3 linked regions of the Caenorhabditis elegans genome follow. The protein of the gene in region 2 interacts with the protein of the main gene of each other region in a pairwise test. Each region holds a gene or a part of one and is shown on either strand. Other genes may lie near its edges.

The links. Proteins that work in one complex are often made in the same cells at the same time.
Region 1: the proteins of emb-9 (region 2) and vbh-1 interact in a two-hybrid assay, tested with the Caenorhabditis elegans proteins (one large-scale study listed by BioGRID).
Region 3: the proteins of emb-9 (region 2) and ephx-1 interact in a two-hybrid assay, tested with the Caenorhabditis elegans proteins (one large-scale study listed by BioGRID).

What each region holds. Positions count from the first base shown.
Region 1 is NC_003279.8:3,157,101-3,164,722, forward strand, and holds vbh-1 (RNA helicase), read right to left. Parts: upstream 5,292-7,622; 5' UTR 5,184-5,291; coding exon of another isoform or gene 5,116-5,183; intron 5,070-5,115; coding exon of another isoform or gene 5,036-5,069; coding exon 4,818-5,035; intron 4,690-4,817; coding exon 4,639-4,689; intron 4,603-4,638; coding exon of another isoform or gene 4,594-4,602; coding exon 4,543-4,593; intron 4,497-4,542; coding exon 4,184-4,496; intron 4,116-4,183; coding exon 3,055-4,115; intron 3,008-3,054; coding exon 2,823-3,007; intron 2,768-2,822; coding exon 2,664-2,767; 3' UTR 1,392-2,663; downstream 1-1,391. Other genes in the region: mrpl-17 (Large ribosomal subunit protein bL17m), read left to right, coding at 5,716-5,922, 5,984-6,085, 6,138-6,413; Y54E10A.6 (B3/B4 tRNA-binding domain-containing protein), read left to right, coding at 6,592-6,720, 6,857-6,989, 7,491-7,622.
Region 2 is NC_003281.10:9,340,394-9,346,800, reverse strand, and holds the start of emb-9 (Collagen alpha-1(IV) chain), read left to right. Parts: upstream 1-2,353; 5' UTR 2,354-2,402; coding exon 2,403-2,470; intron 2,471-2,744; coding exon 2,745-2,911; intron 2,912-3,320; coding exon 3,321-3,472; intron 3,473-3,877; coding exon 3,878-4,280; intron 4,281-4,337; coding exon 4,338-4,462; intron 4,463-4,506; coding exon 4,507-5,361; intron 5,362-5,417; coding exon 5,418-5,672; intron 5,673-5,765; coding exon 5,766-6,008; intron 6,009-6,062; coding exon 6,063-6,407. UniProt on the Caenorhabditis elegans protein: Collagen type IV is specific for basement membranes. Required to restrict presynaptic growth at the neuromuscular junctions (NMJ) in late larval stage and in adult motor neurons.
Region 3 is NC_003280.10:4,002,360-4,008,804, reverse strand, and holds the start of ephx-1 (SH2 domain-containing protein), read right to left. Parts: upstream 3,892-6,445; coding exon 3,788-3,891; intron 2,064-3,787; coding exon 1,974-2,063; intron 1,925-1,973; coding exon 1,715-1,924; intron 914-1,714; coding exon 127-913; intron 44-126; coding exon 1-43.

The sequences.
Region 1 (7,622 bases), on a different chromosome or scaffold from region 2:
ACGTGAACACACTAACTAACTTATTATGTAATAATTAACTACTTGTCTTCGCATCCTCGTTAAACCTCGAATACATAACGCCTACTTTTTCAATGCATTGGAAAAATCAGTAATAGAACCTATGTTTAAAATTTTTTTTTTTTAATGTATTCGAGGCTAAAAATCTATAAAATCTAATAAAATCTAAATCTACGTTTTTTCGCATTCTCAAGTCCTTGCTAGCTTCTCCTGCAGATGAGAAAAGTTCTGAAACAGATTTCGGAATGTTTACATTTGGAGAATGTGTTTACTAGTACAGTTTATATAGTTGCTATTTTCACGCTAATCTGCTGGATGGTTAAAATAAGTTGAAGTATAAAAGTTGAAATGTCAGACGTTCGTTCTACTAATCTGTTTCTCAATTTCTGTAAAAAATTGTGCCATTATCATACCAGGGAACTCATTACAGGAACACTAAGTCAATGCGTACTGTACATTTTATTTGCCGCGCAGATATCCCTCAACGAAAACTACAGTAATTCTTTAAATGACTACTGTAGCGCTGTGTCGATTTCCGGGTCCGATTTTCAAAAATAATTTCTTATCGTTTTTTGAGAGCGATTTTCTATTTTCCTTCGCTTTTTCGTATTATATTTGTCATTTTTATAGTTTCGTGTATCGTAATAAATTATTTTCGAAAACCGAGCACGTAAATCGACACAGTGCTACAGTAGTAATTTGAAGAATTACTGTAGTTTTCGCTAAGAGATATCTGCGCTTCAAATGAAATGCGCAGTACGGATTTCTCATGATTTAGTGTTCCCATAATACCGAATTTTGAGAGCAGTTTTCCTTCGCTTTTCGTAGATATTATTTGTGTCATTTCTATGCTTTATTTTATTATTTTATCATTAAATATATAATTTTAATTGAAAAAACGAGCAATATTGGTTTCATTTGATGATGAGTCTCCCACAAAAGCATATTTACTCATTTTTCCCCCCTCTTTTGCAGATTTTTAAGGAGAAGACCGGCATTTTTCTATTTGAAAGGCAAGAATTATCAATTTTCATTGATGATAATTGTTTTTAATTCAGGATTTCGACAACAATGGAGAGGGTGAAGACTGCTGATTGTTTTTTTTTTCGAAGTTGAATGACATCGGAAACGAAGGTACATAAACTCCCGGGAATTTAGCCTACAAGTTGCTGGAATCATAATTACAAATTTTCAAATAGAAATGAAAATTTGACTGACATGAGGCAATATTTAATACATTAATTTTTTGGCCTAGGACTAGACTATTAACGACCACGTAGCATTTGACATGTTGTGAAGATAGATAATTTTCTTGCGGTCATTTCTTATATGCAACGAGAGCATCAGCATGCCCGCGTATAAATGTTTTCAAGTACCAGATACCAAGTTTATTCAACTATTTGTCAGGCCACAAGGGCTTTTAAGATTATTCTCAAAGAGCTGAAAGTGAACATTCAAGATGGAAAAAGAAGATAAGAATCTCATAGTGACAGAGATAAGTGCGTGACGAGGGAAAGAGAAAAATGATGGGAGAGGGACGATGAAAATAAAAAAGAAAAATTGTGCATATTGGACAAGAATGCAGTTGGTTGGGGAGAAATTGGCAAATAGAAATTGAAGAGAAAGCGTGGAAACGGACTGCACGTTCAACGGCTTAGACCGGCCTAGAAAATGTTTGGAATTAGCTATTGACGAGACGCATATGATAGTGCAACTTGAGTATTATGAAATGGTTGGTTCTATGATTTTCGTGTATACTGTTTAGAGGGAGAAAAAACAACTAACAATGAATATTACTTGGCTCAAAAAAAACATCAGTTGGAGGGAAAAATGATAGAGATTTGGGGATAGGTGGGGGGAGATCATTATCATAAGAGAGCAACCAAGCTTTTTATACCTAACTCGCAATTATTTAATGATAAACTGACGATCATACTGGCGAACAATTATGAAAATATAATTAGACACCCGCAGCTATACCAAGTTAAGAATTGAATAATTGCAAGACGAATGGTTGGGATCAGATTGGGGAACAAGTAAAAATTAATTAAAAATACACACAATATCACGAATCAACAACGGGCAGCACTATGTAAACGGGTTTCAACAAAGCTTACAAACAACCGATAATAGAGAAAAACCGTGCTGAGTCCCCGACGCGGTAGTGCATCGGATGCCATCCAGCGGCCATAAGAAAAACTACAAAACTACGAGATAAAACTGCATTGATTCTCTCGGGGTATTGTTGATGCAAGAAAACAACACCAAGAGAAACAAAACAATGGTACAAATTGCCAGGCAACAACAACATTTTTGGGGGAAATGGGAGGATACAATAAAATTCAATGTTAAAACCCTAGATCACGCATAGAATCCATTAAAATATTCGTCACTTAAAGCTCTGAGATAAAAAAAATTGAATGATTAAAACACAATTACAGAGAGAATAATATGAAATAAAAGAGAGGAATAAGCCACGCTTTAAAGAAGGAGACAGAATAAAAAAGAGAAGGAGGAAAAAATGATTATTTTAATATGGATGGAACGAGTAAAGGAAAAAAGGAAGACAACTAAATTATAAAAAAAGGAGTATGGTGCGAGACTTTAATGTGGAATTCCGGATTTCCGTTTGTTGCGAATAATGTTTAAGCTTGTGGAGCTTGCCAATGATCAATTGGAGCCTGGCCTGGGTTTGAGTAAAAACCTCCACCGCCACCACCCTGACGGTTCATTCCACTGTTGAAGCCACCTGAAATCAAGGAATTGATTAATTTTGCATTATTTTCTTTATTTTCTCCACAAACCTCTTCTTGGGCCACTGAAGCCGCCACCGCCACCACTATTAGAGGTAGACGACAGAGAGCTATGAGCTCCGAATCCTCCATTCGTGAACGGGCGACGTGGTGCTCCTCCTCCGAACGAACCACCGTAGGCGGGTCCACTTCCGAAACCACCAGTGGCTCCACCGGAATTGTAATTTGAGAAGTTTCTGAAACTATTAGCAATATTAATTTTCAACTGCTCATTTGATCTTACCCTCCGAACGATCCACCACCACCACGACCAACACGATAGTCGGTTGCTCCGAAGCGACGGTTTCCACCACGTTGTCCACCTCCAATGCGTCCTTCTGCAGCAACTTGATGAAGCCATTCTGGGACTTCTTGGTTGGATTCGACAATCAGATTCTTCAAATCACGACCGATTCCTCGATTCTTGTCATTGAAGAAACTGGTGGCAATTCCAAGGTTTCCGCATCTTCCGGTTCTACCGATACGGTGAACATATTCGTCAGAATCTCCAGGAAGATCATAATTGATGACGTGGCGCACATTTGGAATATCCAATCCACGAGCGGCAACAGCAGTTGCGACAAGAATTGGGCACTGTCCAGAGCGGAACAACTCGAGATTTCTCTCACGTTCAATTTGTTTGAGATCTCCGTGAATTGAAACAGAGCGGATCTGCTGACGATTGAGGAAATACGCCAACTCGTTGGCTCCTCTCTTTGTCTCAACGAATACGAGAACCAGATTTTCAGAATGCTCGTTCATCAGAATTTCCATCAGATTGCTTCTCTTTTCCATCTCGTTGACCCAAAGCAGACGTTGTTCAATATTTTCAGACGTTGATCCAACACGACCAACTGCCAAAAAGATATAGTTATCCTTGAGGAAGTCCTTAGCGAGAACTTGAATCTCCTTCGGGAAGGTTGCACTGAACATAGCTGTGGTACGAGCAGTCTTTGGTGGCATTCCTTGGCCAACGATCTTTCTGATTTGCGGCTCAAATCCCATGTCAAGCATACGATCAGCTTCGTCGAGAACCAGGTAACGACATCCGGCGAGTCCAATGAATCCTTGCTCAATAATGTCAATCAAACGACCTGGGGTAGCAATGAGGATATGCGTTCCAGCGCGAAGACGATTCACTTGATCACGATAGTTTTCACGTCCTCCGTAAAGAATAGCCGTCTGGATGTTGCTTTTGTAGCTGAACTTTGTAGCTTCCTTGTGGATTTGAATGGCAAGTTCACGAGTCGGCGAGAGAACCAGAGCACATGGATAGTAAGTGCGACGACCGTTTGTGAACGCTGGCTGCAATTAAAATAGTTTTTTGTATAAATTTTTCGAATTTTGATGGATCGCAGGTTTGCCCTACTTACCGGCTTGACCATATCTGGACCACCAGCCAAAATATGCTGAATAATTGGGAGCAGGAAAGCGGCAGTTTTTCCAGATCCGGTTTGAGCGCAAGACATCAGATCGCGGTTAGCCAAAAGAGTTGGGATCGAGTGTTTCTGGACAGGAGTCGGCTTGGAGTATCCGCTGCGATTCACGTTCTCCATCACAGCCGGCCCAAAACCAGCTTCATTGAAATGCTCGATGGCTGCTGGAACGGAGTCTCCGCTGACTTCTACGGGAATATTTTCGTACTTGTCAAAGTTGATGCCACTGTCGGTACGGTGGAACAAATTGCTGAAATACCATATCGCGTTTAATAATCAGAACATTTTAATCTCACCTTTCGGAATATTCGGCAGGTGCTCCTCCCCATTGATTACTCTCGGCTCCACTGTAACGTCTACTAATAAAAATTGTAATTCAGATTTAAACATACTTGTTGTTGAAACCGTTTCCGCTGTCGGCGAAGTTGTTGTACCCAGACGATCTGCAATTTCAAGATTTGATAAAAGAGAAGCCTCATTTCAGGTTAACAAAAAGCAACAAAGGAAATGAAGAACAAGCATATGGTTAGAGGCAAACACAATCACCAGCACACTATACACCTGTTCTCACCCATTCTCATCGAAGTTTTCAAAGTTTTCTGAGTAGCCCATTTTGAAATGCTGCTGCTGTTGTGGCTGCCCTTGAAAGTAAGGAGAAGGAACAAATCCAGCATGAGGAGCACCCATCATCTGCCCCATCCCTGGGACCATAGGTTGTTGAATTGCATACCCGTTGTTTGACGGAGTTCCGTTGGCGAATCCGTTGTAAAATACGCCTCCTGCAGGCATATTATTGCTCTGTTGAGAATACGAGGATGACCAGCTGAAAAAATGAGGTTGAAATCTTGAAATCCGTTTCGAAATCATACCCTTGTCCCTGTTGTTGTTGTGGCGGCTGTTGTTGACCGTTGTGATTCGCATAATATTGTGTGTTCATTGTAAGACTATATCAAACGGAAACCCGGAATTCGAAAAAGAAAAATCGGCGAATCTAAACCGATTTTGTACCCAATTGACGTCGAGATTACAGAATATGTATCTGAAATTCATTTTATTGGCTTGTTGCGAAACAAATGAAGTTTTAAGACGGAGAAAATGAGTATTTATCATTAATAAACGACGAATTATCATTTTTCGCATAATTTAACTCGAAAATTATGCGAAAAACGATGACAATGGAGAAAATCGACACGAAAAACCGTAGAGAAGAAGCGGAAATGAGAGAAGTGAATTCAGCACGCAATGATGAAGAGACGTTTGTTTTCCCATCGAGACCCGCCGACCGTGTAAATCGGTGCGCCTTTAAAGTGCGTGTGTGAGGAAGCGTGTTTCAACGCAAAAAACGCTCCGAAATTTCGCGAAATAGAATTAAATTTAATTTTTATTAGAATTTCTATTGAAATATATGGGATTTTATTCAATTTTTTGAATTTCCGACTCAAAATTAATAAAAAAAAGATTTCCAGGCAATGTCAGCTCACCGAGTGGCAGTGTCACTGCCAAGAATCGGCGTCACAATTGGTCACGCACCACAAAAGCTGAAAACCGGAGGAATTGAGCCAAGCCGTCGTGCTCGTCTCGAAGTGCTCCGTCGCATCGTCACCCGAACTGTCCGTGAGGAACGCGCCGAGCTGAAATGGAACCGCGCCGTCGAGGCCAGGCCATATTTGGAGAGGGTGAGGGGTTTTTTGTTTGAAAATGAGTGAGAAAATTAAAATTTAAAAAAATAAAATTCAGCTAATTCAATTGGGTGTCGAAAGAGGACCACTTGACGAGTATACAGCCGAAATGATGGAATGGTGGCTGCCTGAGAAGGATTTAATTACGAAAATGCATGAAGTAAATTGATTTAAAAAGATTTTTCGCCAAAAAAAAATCATTTTTTTCCCAGGTAATTGTTCCACGATTCCAAGACCGCGATTCTCCATTCACATCACTATTCCGACTTCCACCACAACGTCTTCAACAATTTATCCAGAATAAGCGAGAAGTCTGGAAGCGATACGATATCGGAGTTCTGGAAATCGACGGAAATCCATTTCCACAAATACAAGCAGACCGCGTAGATCAATCTGAATCAATTCTTGATGTTCTTCTAGCTGACGCCCTTCGGAATCACCAGAAGAATCTTCAGGAAAAGCTGGATACTCCGAAGAAATCTCAATGAATTTTTATTATTTTTTTTGTTTTTGTTTCGCTAGAATCCTAGAATTTTTGTTTCTTTATATATTAAACTTTGAATCATTTTCAATATTTATAACGAATTTTGTGGTTCGATTCAATTATTTATATCTTTATCTAATTTTTTTCCCACTTTTTCACCGAAAAAATTAAAATTCAGAATAATGTTCGAAGAGCAACCGGAGGTAATAGAGGCGATCGAGAATAATCGCTTCGAAATTGTCATCAAAAATGTTCGAATCGATTCGGTCACCGAAGCGGCCAATCTTTCCCAGAAACGGGTTTTCGAGAGTGTAAGGGAATTTTAATTTTTGGAAAATCCGTGAATTTCCGCAAAAAAACGATTTTTTTCTCGGAATTTCAAACAAATTTTTTTTTTGTAAATTTTATAATACTAAATTCCCATCAAAACCCAAAATTTATTTTCAGATGTCCCAATTGAATCTCCTTTCTCTCACTGGATGCTCTCTTCACAATCTTTCGTCTTCGATTAGATCTTGCAGTAATCTAATGCATTTGGTTTTGCCGAAAAATGATTTAAAACAGCTTCCAGACGTTTTTGGTGTGTATTTTGTGGATTTTTTTTTGTTTTTTTAGACGGAAATTAGTCGAAATATACCAAATATAACTGTTAAATAGCATATCTTTTCAATTTCGCAACAAAAAATTTGAATTATTTTGAATGACATGATTTCGAAATTAAATGTTTAATTCCGGCAAATTGCCGGTTTGCCGGAAAAAAATAAAATTTTAAATTCTTGCGAATTGCCGATTTGCCGGAAATTTTCTATTTTTTCAAGTATGCCGATTTGCCGGAAAAAATTAAACTTTGAATTCATGCAAATTGCCGATTTGCCGGAAATTTTCAATTTTAATTTCGCGCAAGTTGCCGGTTTGCCGGAAAATTTTTTAAAATTCCGGCAAATTGCCGGTTTGCCGGAAGTTCTTAAAGGGATTTTTTAAAAGATAGTGTGCCTACAATTTAATTTTAGGCAAATTAGGCAAACTGCCAACTTGCCGGTTGCCGATTTGCCAAAACAAATATAACTATGAAAATTTCCAGATTGCTTGCCAAAACTAAAATTCATGGATCTTTCACACAATCATCTGGATGCTCTTCCTGCTTCAATTTCAAAATGTGAAAATCTTGAATCTCTAATTCTCAACAACAACCGCCTCAATGAATCGAGTTTCC
Region 2 (6,407 bases):
GCTTCTTCTGGTTTCGGGTTGACGCAATTTTTTCGGTTTTATATTTTTAAAGTTTTGTTTTCTAGTTTTGAATGGATTTTTAAGGAACAATTTTTCATTGTATTTGATTACATATTTTGTTCAGGCATTTGACATTTCCAAGTCAAGCTATCAAGTATATTCTCAATATTTTTTCATTTGGTCACTATCACTAAAAACCTTAAATTTGACAATGAGCCTAGTAATATCGTTAATTGAAGAGAATATAGGCATATGAATAGGCATCATGTATCAAAAATAATTATTCAGCTGAATTCCCTATCTTCGATCAACTATCAGTATAGGGCAACTCATGTTTTCAAAAAAGTACAAACTTTACTGAAACCTAACTCCCGCCTTCTCTTGCCACTTGCAAACCAACACAGATGACCCCTAACAACTGCGTATAGTGAGAATCCCGGTCTCGTCTCAAAGCACCTCGCAATGACCTCGCACAGTTGGCAGATATTGCTGACAGCTCGATCGATCAGTGTGGCTCTGTCTTCAATCAAAAGTTGAAGGAGGCAAAAGAGAGAATTTGTGTGTGTATGTGTGTGTGAGTGGGAGCGAATTTTGATAAAAGACGGATGAGGTTGCTTGAAAGTTGATGTGCACTCTCAAAAGTTTGATTCATGAATGATAAATAGGTGGAGCGCGATTCATTGTTTTTTCAAGAAATAAAAACTTTTGAAAATAAGTTATTACGTTGAAAAGCTTGGAATTTCAATTTCAACAGAAACCAAATATTTTTGTGATATTTTTTGCTGGCTTCAAGCTGATTTGGTTCAGATCTTTTTCCGATTCTCGAATCATTAATATCCCATTTTCTAACGAGGAAAATATAATTCAGATTTGGCGAAATCTTAGCTTGTTTTTGAAGCTGCATTTTTTTTTATTTTCTGAAATCAAATATTTCTAATGTTTAAAAAAACGTTAAGATCTGAAAAAAACAAGTTTTTACCGAATTTTTTTACGTCACTAAATGCTTTAAAAATTCAACAAAATGAAAGTTCATTGAAAACAATGTATGCAAAAATTGAAGAACTACAATTGCTGTTTGTTTTCCCTGTAACCCGTAGAAATTGCAGCGTTTTCTTTTTGAGAAAATTGCAAAACCAAGCGTTTTAAGCTCTAAAAATATAAAAGACTAGAGAAACTTCTGGACCTACCACATAAAAAATGAATGTCAATTCTCCAGAATTAGCATGTAGAGCATGTTGAAGCTCCGTGTCAATTTTACTATAAAAACAATTTATCTGAAATTGCGCGATTCTGAATTGCCGTTTCAGAAATTACTTACGAATACCATTTTTTCCCTATTAGAAATGTACCTCCAACTTCAATACTTTAACCGCATGGGTACACACTGTGTGTACTACACAGTTTTCAAAAAAAAAAACAACACAACTTCCAGAATTTCTTGAACTTTATTTTCTTTTTCAAAACATTTTCCACACTTTCCGGTCACTTGTTTCCATTTCAACTTTTTTCTTAACTTGAACAATTTGCTCGAACTTCAACTGTAGTTTCCAGCTGTCTGTCGATCAGGTCTGGTGTCCGTGTCATCTAAAGACATGGCACACACACACAGGCAACCAAACCGAACAGGCCATTCTCCAGATGTTTAGTAAAAAAATGACAAAGTGCGATTCTCTCCATTTTTATTATAAATCGTTCTTTTCCATTCTTCCTCCCCTTCTCTTTTAGTTTTGCAACACATCAAGGTTTGTGTCGTTGCTTGGGCCGGCTGTTGGACGCTCTCGGAGCGCGCCTCTGGATGATTGAAAAGACACCGTGTGTAATGTGTAATGCTCTTTCATTTTATCATTGAATTTTCTAACTTTTATCCTTATTTTACTGGAATTAATCGCCGTCTGGAATTTTTCAGAACATGAACGAAACTAATCAATTGTAGCGCAATATTTTCTTATGACATATAAAAATGCAGAAAAAAGAGAATCCGGCTGTATGTCTTCAAATTAATCATTTTTTCTATGGCTCACTAAGAATTCAAAACCGTGGTTTCATTCCTGCCAGTTAGAACTAAACTAGACTTATTTTAATCTGATGGTTGGAGATTTTGATTGTTTTTTTTTTAAATATATTTTGAAATTAAATTTCTCATTCAACTCTCCTTTTCGGTGACATCACGGTAATCACCAGAAAATTAAAATTAAAGTTTGCAGTCAAAACTTCAAAAACCTTAAAAATTGAACTACTTTTCATTTTAAGCGTATCTGACATAACATCAAGTGCAATGTTCTTAAATTTCCTCAATACTTTATTTCTTCTATGTATTTTTATTTTCTCGTTGCTTACATAATATAATTTTCAGAACGACACCAATCTTTGGGTAACGAGAAGTCGATCGCCGTGACTGGAAGATGTCACGCTTATCGCTTCTCGGCTTGACGGCAGCCGTAGTGCTACTGTCGTCGTTCTGTCAAGATAGGTGAGTTGTTTTAAAAAAATTTGAATGTGAAAAAAAAACTATATAAAACTTTAAATTCATTCGAAACTATAAAACAAACTTGGTTCGAACTTTCAGAAAAATGAATGAATAAGAAACAAATATTTTTTGAAAGTTTCAGCGGCAATTTCTAAAAAAATAAATAATCAAGAAAAGGCCCTAAAATGTGCATTACTGATCTGGCTAAAGTCCCCCTGCCCTCACCTTGCCTGAAATGATTATCTATAATTTATCCCATTGCAATTTTTAATTTCAGGATACATGTGGATGCTGCCGCCGCATGCAAGGGATGTGCTCCACCATGTGTTTGCCCAGGAACCAAAGGAGAACGTGGTAATCCAGGATTTGGTGGTGAACCAGGACATCCTGGAGCACCAGGACAAGATGGACCAGAAGGAGCACCAGGAGCTCCAGGAATGTTTGGTGAGTTTTTAAGTTTAAATTAGAAATATTTTACAAAAAAAAGACCTAAATGGTTTGCTGAAAATATCAACAAAAAAAAACACCGATTTGAAAAAATTAATTAAATAGAAACACAAAAATAAAAATAAAAACAATTTTTAATATTGAATTCATGTTACACTGGTAATCGTATATCAAAATGATAAGCTAAAAAAAATAACTAAATGCATTTTTTATAATTCTGAAGAAATGTATTTTCACTATTTATTACGGTAATACCAAAATCTTTGAAAATTCGATTGAATGCACTTTTTTCTATTGAAAACTATTTAAAGAAGACGTTTTAACCTTTTTTAAATAGTAAGTTCTTACACTGAAAAAGATCTTAAAAATATCAAAAATCTTAAAAATAAAAAATTCCATATTTCAGGAGCCGAAGGAGATTTTGGAGATATGGGATCTAAGGGAGCTCGTGGAGATCGTGGTCTTCCTGGATCGCCAGGTCATCCAGGTCTTCAAGGACTTGACGGATTACCAGGACTGAAAGGAGAAGAAGGAATTCCAGGATGCAATGGAACAGATGTAAGTGACCTTTCCAAAAGTGATATATGTAATATTATTCATTTGTCAGATGTTGTTAGTGTCTTGAGGTTTTTTTTGAGTTTTAAGCTCCTTCGAGTCCAGCGGTGAAACAGAAAACAGAAAAAGTGAGAGATAGATAGATGCAGTGCTTTTTATGTGTATAGAGCATCGGGATGTGTAATGACTCATCTTGCATCTTTTTCTCAAGTGTCGCGGTCCCCACACATTGACTAATTGCACTATAATTATTGACCAGAGGAAACTGAAAAAAACTGAAGATAGTGATTTTTATAAACATTTTCTGGAAAAAAAATCCTCCTAAAAATTAATTGGAATAATCAATTTTACAACAAAAATAGTTATAATTTTCAATAACTGGAAGCAAAATAAAAACAAAACTTTCAGGGTTTCCCTGGAATGCCCGGACTTGCTGGACCTCCAGGGCAATCTGGACAAAACGGAAACCCTGGACGACCAGGACTCTCCGGACCACCAGGAGAAGGAGGTGTCAATTCACAAGGACGCAAAGGAGTTAAAGGAGAATCTGGAAGATCAGGAGTTCCAGGTCTTCCAGGAAACTCTGGTTATCCTGGATTGAAAGGAGCAAAGGGAGATCCAGGACCGTACGGTCTTCCCGGATTCCCCGGAGTTTCTGGATTGAAGGGAAGAATGGGAGTGAGAACTTCTGGTGTTAAGGGAGAGAAGGGTTTGCCTGGACCACCAGGACCACCAGGACAACCGGGATCTTATCCATGGGCTTCAAAGCCAATTGAGATGGAAGTCTTGCAAGGACCTGTCGGACCAGCTGGTTGGTTTTTTTTAATTTTAAATAATTAAAAACTATATAAGAAGTTTACCATTTCAGGAGTGAAAGGAGAAAAGGGACGTGATGGACCAGTAGGACCACCAGGAATGCTCGGACTTGACGGACCACCAGGATATCCTGGATTAAAGGGACAGAAGGGAGATTTGGGAGATGCTGGACAACGTGTAAGTATTTGCCCTAATAAAAAACTTAAGTTTTTATTTTGCAGGGTAAACGTGGAAAGGACGGAGTTCCAGGAAATTATGGAGAAAAGGGATCCCAAGGAGAACAAGGACTTGGAGGAACTCCAGGATACCCAGGAACTAAGGGAGGGGCTGGAGAACCAGGATACCCAGGAAGACCAGGTTTCGAAGGAGACTGTGGACCGGAAGGACCACTTGGAGAAGGAACTGGTGAGGCTGGACCACATGGAGCTCAAGGATTCGACGGAGTTCAAGGAGGCAAAGGATTGCCAGGACATGATGGTCTCCCAGGACCAGTAGGTCCAAGAGGTCCAGTTGGAGCTCCAGGAGCCCCAGGACAGCCCGGTATCGATGGAATGCCAGGATACACCGAAAAAGGAGATAGAGGAGAGGACGGTTACCCAGGATTCGCTGGCGAACCAGGACTCCCAGGAGAACCAGGAGATTGTGGTTATCCAGGAGAGGATGGTCTTCCAGGATACGATATTCAAGGACCACCTGGACTTGACGGACAATCCGGAAGAGATGGATTCCCTGGTATTCCAGGAGACATCGGAGATCCAGGTTATTCTGGAGAAAAGGGATTCCCAGGAACTGGAGTTAACAAAGTTGGACCACCAGGAATGACCGGTTTGCCAGGAGAGCCAGGAATGCCAGGACGTATTGGAGTTGACGGTTATCCAGGACCACCAGGAAACAATGGAGAAAGAGGAGAAGACTGTGGATATTGTCCAGATGGTGTTCCAGGAAATGCTGGAGATCCAGGATTCCCCGGAATGAATGGATATCCAGGACCACCAGGACCTAATGGTGATCATGGAGACTGCGGAATGCCAGGAGCTCCAGGAAAGCCAGGATCCGCTGGATCAGATGGACTTTCAGTAAGTTTGCAGTCGTTAGTAAAGTTGCTGATTAAACACAAATTCGGTTTTTACAGGGATCACCAGGACTTCCAGGAATTCCAGGCTACCCAGGAATGAAGGGAGAAGCCGGAGAGATCGTTGGACCAATGGAAAACCCAGCTGGAATTCCAGGTCTTAAGGGAGATCATGGTCTTCCAGGACTACCAGGACGACCAGGAAGTGACGGACTCCCTGGTTACCCAGGAGGACCAGGACAAAATGGATTCCCAGGACTCCAAGGTGAACCAGGTCTTGCTGGAATTGATGGGAAGAGAGGACGTCAAGGATCTGTGAGTTATATATTTCAAGGATAATTTAAGCTTCTAATTAAGCTCATGATTTTTTAAACATTAAAAAACATTATAAACTATTTCAATTTTCAGCTCGGAATCCCAGGACTTCAAGGACCACCTGGAGACTCTTTCCCAGGACAGCCAGGAACACCTGGTTACAAGGGAGAACGAGGTGCTGATGGTCTTCCAGGACTTCCAGGAGCTCAAGGACCACGGGGAATTCCAGCACCATTGAGAATTGTCAATCAAGTTGCTGGACAACCAGGTGTTGACGGCATGCCAGGTCTTCCAGGAGATAGAGGAGCTGATGGTCTTCCAGGACTCCCAGGACCGGTAAGTGTTTTATTTTTGATTATTTCTATTTCTGAAATAAATTTTAAATTTCAGGTTGGACCAGACGGATACCCAGGAACACCAGGAGAGCGCGGTATGGATGGTCTTCCAGGATTCCCAGGACTCCATGGAGAGCCTGGAATGCGTGGACAGCAAGGAGAAGTTGGTTTCAACGGAATTGATGGGGACTGTGGAGAGCCAGGTCTTGACGGATACCCCGGAGCACCAGGAGCTCCAGGAGCTCCAGGAGAGACTGGATTTGGCTTCCCAGGACAAGTCGGATACCCAGGACCAAATGGAGATGCTGGGGCAGCTGGACTTCCAGGACCAGACGGCTACCCAGGAAGAGACGGTCTTCCAGGAACTCCTGGATACCCAGGAGAAGCAGGAATGAACGGA
Region 3 (6,445 bases), on a different chromosome or scaffold from region 2:
TCTTCGCTTGTTTGTCGCCGACTTTCTGCCGTAATTGGCTAACCTTCAATCAGAATTAGTTTGATTTGTCTTTCTTGTTTTGTTTTCTGAATACCCAAAAAGGAACAAAAAAAACAAAGCACCAACCTTTTTCGACAAATTAAGCTGCAACTCGCTCTTGAACCTGAACAGCTTTTCCAGCTCCATTGAGCTCATCCTTTTCGAGGATTTTGGATTCCTTTGGAGAGTTGAGGAAAGGAAGCGCTCTTTGATTTCCGGCACTTTTTGAAATCTTTGTTCTTCCAGAAGCTCCTCTTCAGCTTCATCAAAGATTTCCTCATCCCGAGGATAAGCCCGTCTGCTTGAATTGGGCTCTGACCCGGAGGCTCTAGGAGGCTCCGGCCTTGAAAAGTCGGTAGACTGAGATTCATAGGTGTACTCGGATTCTAGACGTTGATGTGTAGGTATACATGTGTTTGATGATGGCGTGACCAGCATAATTTCATCGTAACAGTTGTCGTCATCCAGTGGAATAAAAGGGACATCTGGGACGGGGATATTCGGGATTCTCGGGAGACCTCCTGTGCTGGAGGATGTTGAGCTGCTCCGGAAACTGACCGGCAGGGTGTCAAATTGATTGGTAACTGGGGGTGGAGGTGGTGGGGTCTTCAGACGAGCCCTGGGCAGCGTGGCAGACATAGACCTCGGCGCGGGAGTAGGCTTCAGGTAGGAAGGAATCCTCTTGATCCTCTCCTTAGACGGAGGTACAGATGGTAGAGGTGGTGGTGGAGATACAGCGGAAAGATCTTCTGACGAAGAAATTGGAATTGTTAAGGACACTCGACACCGCTCCTCGTACACTGGGTGACCATCTTTTTTGGAATGGAAAGATGGAGAAGGGGAACTTTCAACAATCATGCTTGTTGTTTGAAGACTGAAATAGAAAGGGATTCTTATTTACATTTCTGATTCGTGAATCATAGAGAACCTTGAAACATTCGAAAAATGAGTCACTGTGGGTGGAATTGAAAAAAAAAGTTTTTTTTAGAAATTAGTTTTTTGTTTGAAATTTTTAATGGTTTTTCGAAGTGGTTTCATTGAAATTTTGCTTTATTTATAAAGAACTATTTAAAAATTTGTCTGTTTTGTATTTTTATAAAATTGTATTCTATTGAAGTAAAAAAAGTAACTTTTCAAAACTTTAATCAAGATTTTGAAAGCCGGAAGGTTTTGGAAACTGAAATGTTTTGAAGAGAAATTGAATTGAAATTTTTAAATTTGAATTTTTTGAAATTTTATTTGAAGATATTGTTGTAAAAGATTATTGTTGTAAAATTTATAAAGCTTCAAAATTGCCAAAAGTTCAATTTTTGTATAGTATTTCAAACTAAATTATTTAAAATAAAGTTTTAGACTGAAAATTTTCAGAACAACTTTAAAACTTTGATTAAAAACATTATTTTTTAAAATTACCCCTACAGTACCCCACATCACTCCTACAGCATTCCACAATACCCTACAGTAACCTTACTGTACCCCTACAGTACTACTACAGTACCCCTACAGAATACCTACAGTATTCCTATAGTACCCACGATGTAATCTTACATTAATCTACAGTATCCCACAATACCCTACAGTAGCCCTACTGTACCCCCACAGTTCTTCTACAGTAATCCACAATACCCCTCAAGTTGTCATACAGTACTCCTACAGTACCCCTCATTTCACCTACCGTAATCTAGGTGCAGGTAGCGGTGTTATCACAATTGGAGCACCCGATGCTCCGGCACCCGTCGGTGAAAAGTCGCCAGTGGATTTGCTCTTCCGAAATTCAGAAGATGTGACCAGGACGGCGAGCTCCGAGTTGCTCCGCGTTCGTCGTTTCAACGAACTTTTCCGTCGCGGTATGGCGCTTCCACGTAGCACTCGTGATGTGCACGGCCTGAAAAACAAGCAAATTAAGAGCAAAACTGAAGAGGAAAATTACTTACTCGTGAAGGTTTTCCACTACCCGGAACTTGCCGATTCGTTTGGAGATCACCGGTTTGTGGTGCTCAATTCGGCTTGTGCTGGTTTCGAATCTGGAAATCGGAAATAGCTTTTGGAAGATCAATTTTAAAATTGCAAATTCAACAAGTCGCCGACTAATCAGCGTATTCTAATAGGCGTGGCTAACGTCGCTGATTGGTTGGCGCAATTTTTTTTAAATTTTACATTCTATAATACTACAAAAAACGAAACGTTTCGGCAAACTCAAAAATTGTTTAACAATCTCTCCAAATGACCATATCGTAAAAAGGAGTGGTCAGTGATGAGGCGTGGTGGGAATATTTGATAACAATAATAATAAAATGATGGTGATAAGGCAGGGGGAGCGGGGAGACATACACATTTTGGAAATTCTTCAGAGATGTACTAATGAAGAGAGGGATGCGGTAGGTAGGTTCCTAGGCAGGCAGGCGCTAAAGCTAGGAGATGGTAAATTCCAAATAATATACATCCTAAAGTTGAAGTTTGGGTGAAAGTTGGAGAAAGTTTCCAAAAGATTCTGAACATTTTTAATGCTTTTTTAAGCTTTCAAAGTTGAGCTGATATTAGAGTAAAACTTCATAAAAAGTTGCCAAACTTCTCCGAACCATCTCTAAAACTCCAACAATTTTCCCACGAAGAAGCTTCTGGAAGAAATGACGACGCCCTCGGTCTCTCTTTACTTCTTCAACCGTTTTTCTTCCTGTCCGGTTTCAATATATTATGTCAATCAACCGAAGGGTAATGTGCTGCTATTGTTGGCTGGAGAACAACTGTGTTGGAGTGAGTGTGTGAAGGAGGAGGAAAAGTAGTATTTGTTTGACAATCATACAGAAATTGAATTGCAGACATATAAACAAAAAACTTTTTTTTTAAACGAAGAAGCATAGGACAAGAGAAAAGTTAATTTTCTAGCTGGTTATTCTATTGGTATGAAAATTTTGTGTTCTACACTTTGGCAGCTTATGTATATTCCGGTGAAATTCAAAAATATCCAAAATTGGTCAATTGCAAAACTATTGGAAAATTTAAAACCAAGATTTTCTCAGTTAAGAACTTTTTGATAAAAAACTATGACAACTTAGATATGAGCTGCCAAAATTAAACTTAAATAAATATTTTTTGAAAAAATGGATAGAATCTATGTGTCAACAAGCAGGCGGGGACAGTTTTTCAAAAATAAATGTTTGGTAAAAGTTTGGCTGAAAATAAGCAACGATGACACGTACAAAGTGGGAAAAAGCTACAGTACTCCTACAGTACCCCTACAGTTATCCTAGAGTACTCATACAGTACCCATACAGTTATCCTCCTACAATACCTATACAGTACTCCAATTTGTTCCTCTACAGTACCCTAAACTGGTACTACAGATGTTATTACAGTAAAAGCCTCATTTTGTCCCTTCAGTACCTATGCAGTACTCCTAAAATAGTCGAACAGGTTCCTACAACACTTCTGCAGTACTCCTACAGTTCCTCTACAGTGCCCTTACCGGCACTACATCTGTGAAAGCCTCCCACTGCCCCTACAGTACTCCTACAGTACCTACAGTACCCCTGAAGTAGTCCACCCTACAGTATTTCTACAATACCTCTATATCACTCCTACAGTACCCTACAGTATTCCTACCGTACTCCTACAGTACCCCCACAGTGTCCCTACTATACCCTACTACCCTGCAGTACTGTACCCCAAAAACCTTATAGTACCACTTCTACAGTAACCTTAAAATATCTCTACACTCTACAAAATCCTATAAAAAATGCTGTCTTACCTCTTGGCAAGTTCCTTAACACTGGGCAATCGCATTTTCGTCGTCGTCGTCGTTGTCGCGATCTTCTGGGCTTCTGATGTCGTCGTTGATGGTGCATTGGACATTAGATTTTGGCTCAGATTACCCCCAGACACTGTAAATTTCATATATTTATTTGATTATGTTTTATTAATCTAAAAATAGAGTTTTTTTTTCAAAAAAAGCGAGAAAAAGAGGAAAAGAAAACAGAGGAGATGCATGCAACAACTCTCGATGGGTTAATCGCTTGATTCAACATTTGAATGTGTGAGTGGAGCCCCCCGAGAGAGCAAGTGGGAAAAAGAGCACAATAATATTGATGATGATTGGGGCGAATGTTTATACTGCGCACCACATACACACTTCCCCAAAAAATCGCGGAAAAAATTTTCATGATGAAAAAAACATCTTCCTTTTCAAGAGCTTTTGGGAATGATAAGCCGAGGAGGGGTTGCCTACATTGTGTCTGCCTAGGGCCTACCTAATGCCTACCTAGTGCCTGCCTAGTGTCTGCCTAGCACCTGCCTAGTGCCTATTTGGCACTTCCTATCTACGACCTACAGAGTGCTTTCCTAGTGCCAGCCTAATGTCTGCCTAGAACCTACCTTCTGCCTGCCTAGTGTCTGCCTAGTGCATGCCTAGTGCCTGCCGAGCGCCATTACAATTAGAAGCAAACTATAAAAATATTTCTTAAAAGCTTATTCAGAAAGAACAGAACTAGTCTGTCGACCTAGCCGTCTCGGCTACTTTGCTTCAGCTATGTAATGGCTACTTCCAGACCAGCACTTAATACAGACCCCCTTTTCAACATTTTTCCAATTTGCCAAAGAAATGTGTGAAGTACTTAAAAGAATAAAAAAAGTTAGTACAATAGACTCTAACAACAAAGAAACCTTGAAAAATGGGGGTCAATTACATTTCTTTTTCTGAAGTGAGGTTAAATGGTAAGTGAAATTTTTATACAAAGCTTCTCCTAGTAAATATGCATTTTGCAAAATCTTCAAAAGTGCTGCACAATGAGCAGAACACACGACAGGAAGCGCCTTTTCTCCTGCGAGACCATGGTCAGTGGTGGTCAATGCGCGAGAATCGGGAGACGAGGAGACGCAGATGGATAAGGAAAATGTGTGAAAAACATACGGGAGGCAAGGATTGCAATTTGCATTTACTGACCGCGAGCACAATGTTGATGGGTGAGTGACATTCGAGAGGACTACGAAATGGATATTGCAATATTGCACTTGAGTTTTTTTGTTTTTTTATGCTTCAAGAGCACCACTTCTACCTCAGAGTTCATGCTTATTAGGAGGGTTACTAGTTAGATTCAGGCTTCACAAGAAAGTCTAAAGGCTCAGGCTTAGGCTTATTCTTAGGCTCAGGACTATGCTTAGGCTCGTCTCCAGTATCTAAGTATCTAATTCCAAAATTTCAGACTTCTCTTCGACCTTCATTAAATTTCGACCAATCCTCAAGGTTAAAACGAAAAATTCTTAGGGCTTTAAGCATATCCTTCTTTTTGAATTTTTGCTAAATTTTCAGACTTTCAAAACTTTCAAAAAAGTATAAATCGCATAAAAAGCTAACCCTTGAATTTTACGTATTTACAAAGCGCAGAATGGCATCTACGCTCATAACTCATGAAATTTGATTGATGAACAGCTTGCTAGTCGAGAGTAATATTGTTCCGAGGGGAAGGGTGACACATACGGAAAAGCCATGACAAAGTGAAATTGGTTGGTATTTGAAAAAGGTCAAAACTAGAACTTTTCAGATTTTTTTAAAGTTTAGAAGTTTTAAAACTAGTTTTCTAGCTACTATTTTAAAAGGTGTTGTGCTCCCGTGACCTCCCACACAGAATCAAATATTTGAACTTTCAAACGAGCGTAACAAAAGACTATTTGCACAATCACAGATACACAACACACATTCTTGAATGATTTCGAACACTTTCCGGTTTTTGAACTTTTTTTTGAATTATTAGTTGATCAAAATAACTTTAAAAAATTCTGCTAGGTGTTCCTGGAAATTCTATAGGTACGAAAATATTGTGTAAATTTTTCTGAAAAGTTTTGAGGTTTTGACAAAAATATTCAAGCTAGCTCCGAAAGAAGACAATTTCAGATATTTGACTACTTTATCGATTTCTAGAGGGATTATACTTTTCTGGAATTTTTTTTGGAAATTAATCGGGTTTTTTAACTAAAAATTGTATCATAATTTCTTTAGACAAATGTCTAAAGAAATGTCAAATTTTTTTCTTAAAAAAACGAAAAATTCTAAAAATTTTCAAAAAGCAAATTTAGCTTAATAAGCTTGCCCACGTGGCGTCAGGATGTCCCATCTCGGTTTGATCTACAAGAATTGCGGGAATTTAGACGCTGTCTTTTCAACTGATTTTACATGGATATAAACGTGCTGACGTCACATTTTTTGGGAAAAAATTACCCGCATTTTTCGTAGATCAAATTGTAATGGGGCAACCTGACACCACGTGCTTGCACTAAATATTCTCCAAATCAAAATAAAAGTTCAAAAGAACCGAAAACTGAAACACTGTTGTTGATACTAATGAAAAGTAAACAGCCCACGCCGATTGTGTAAAAGAGAGGTTTCGAGTGAGAGGGGGGATTGGTCTTTCTG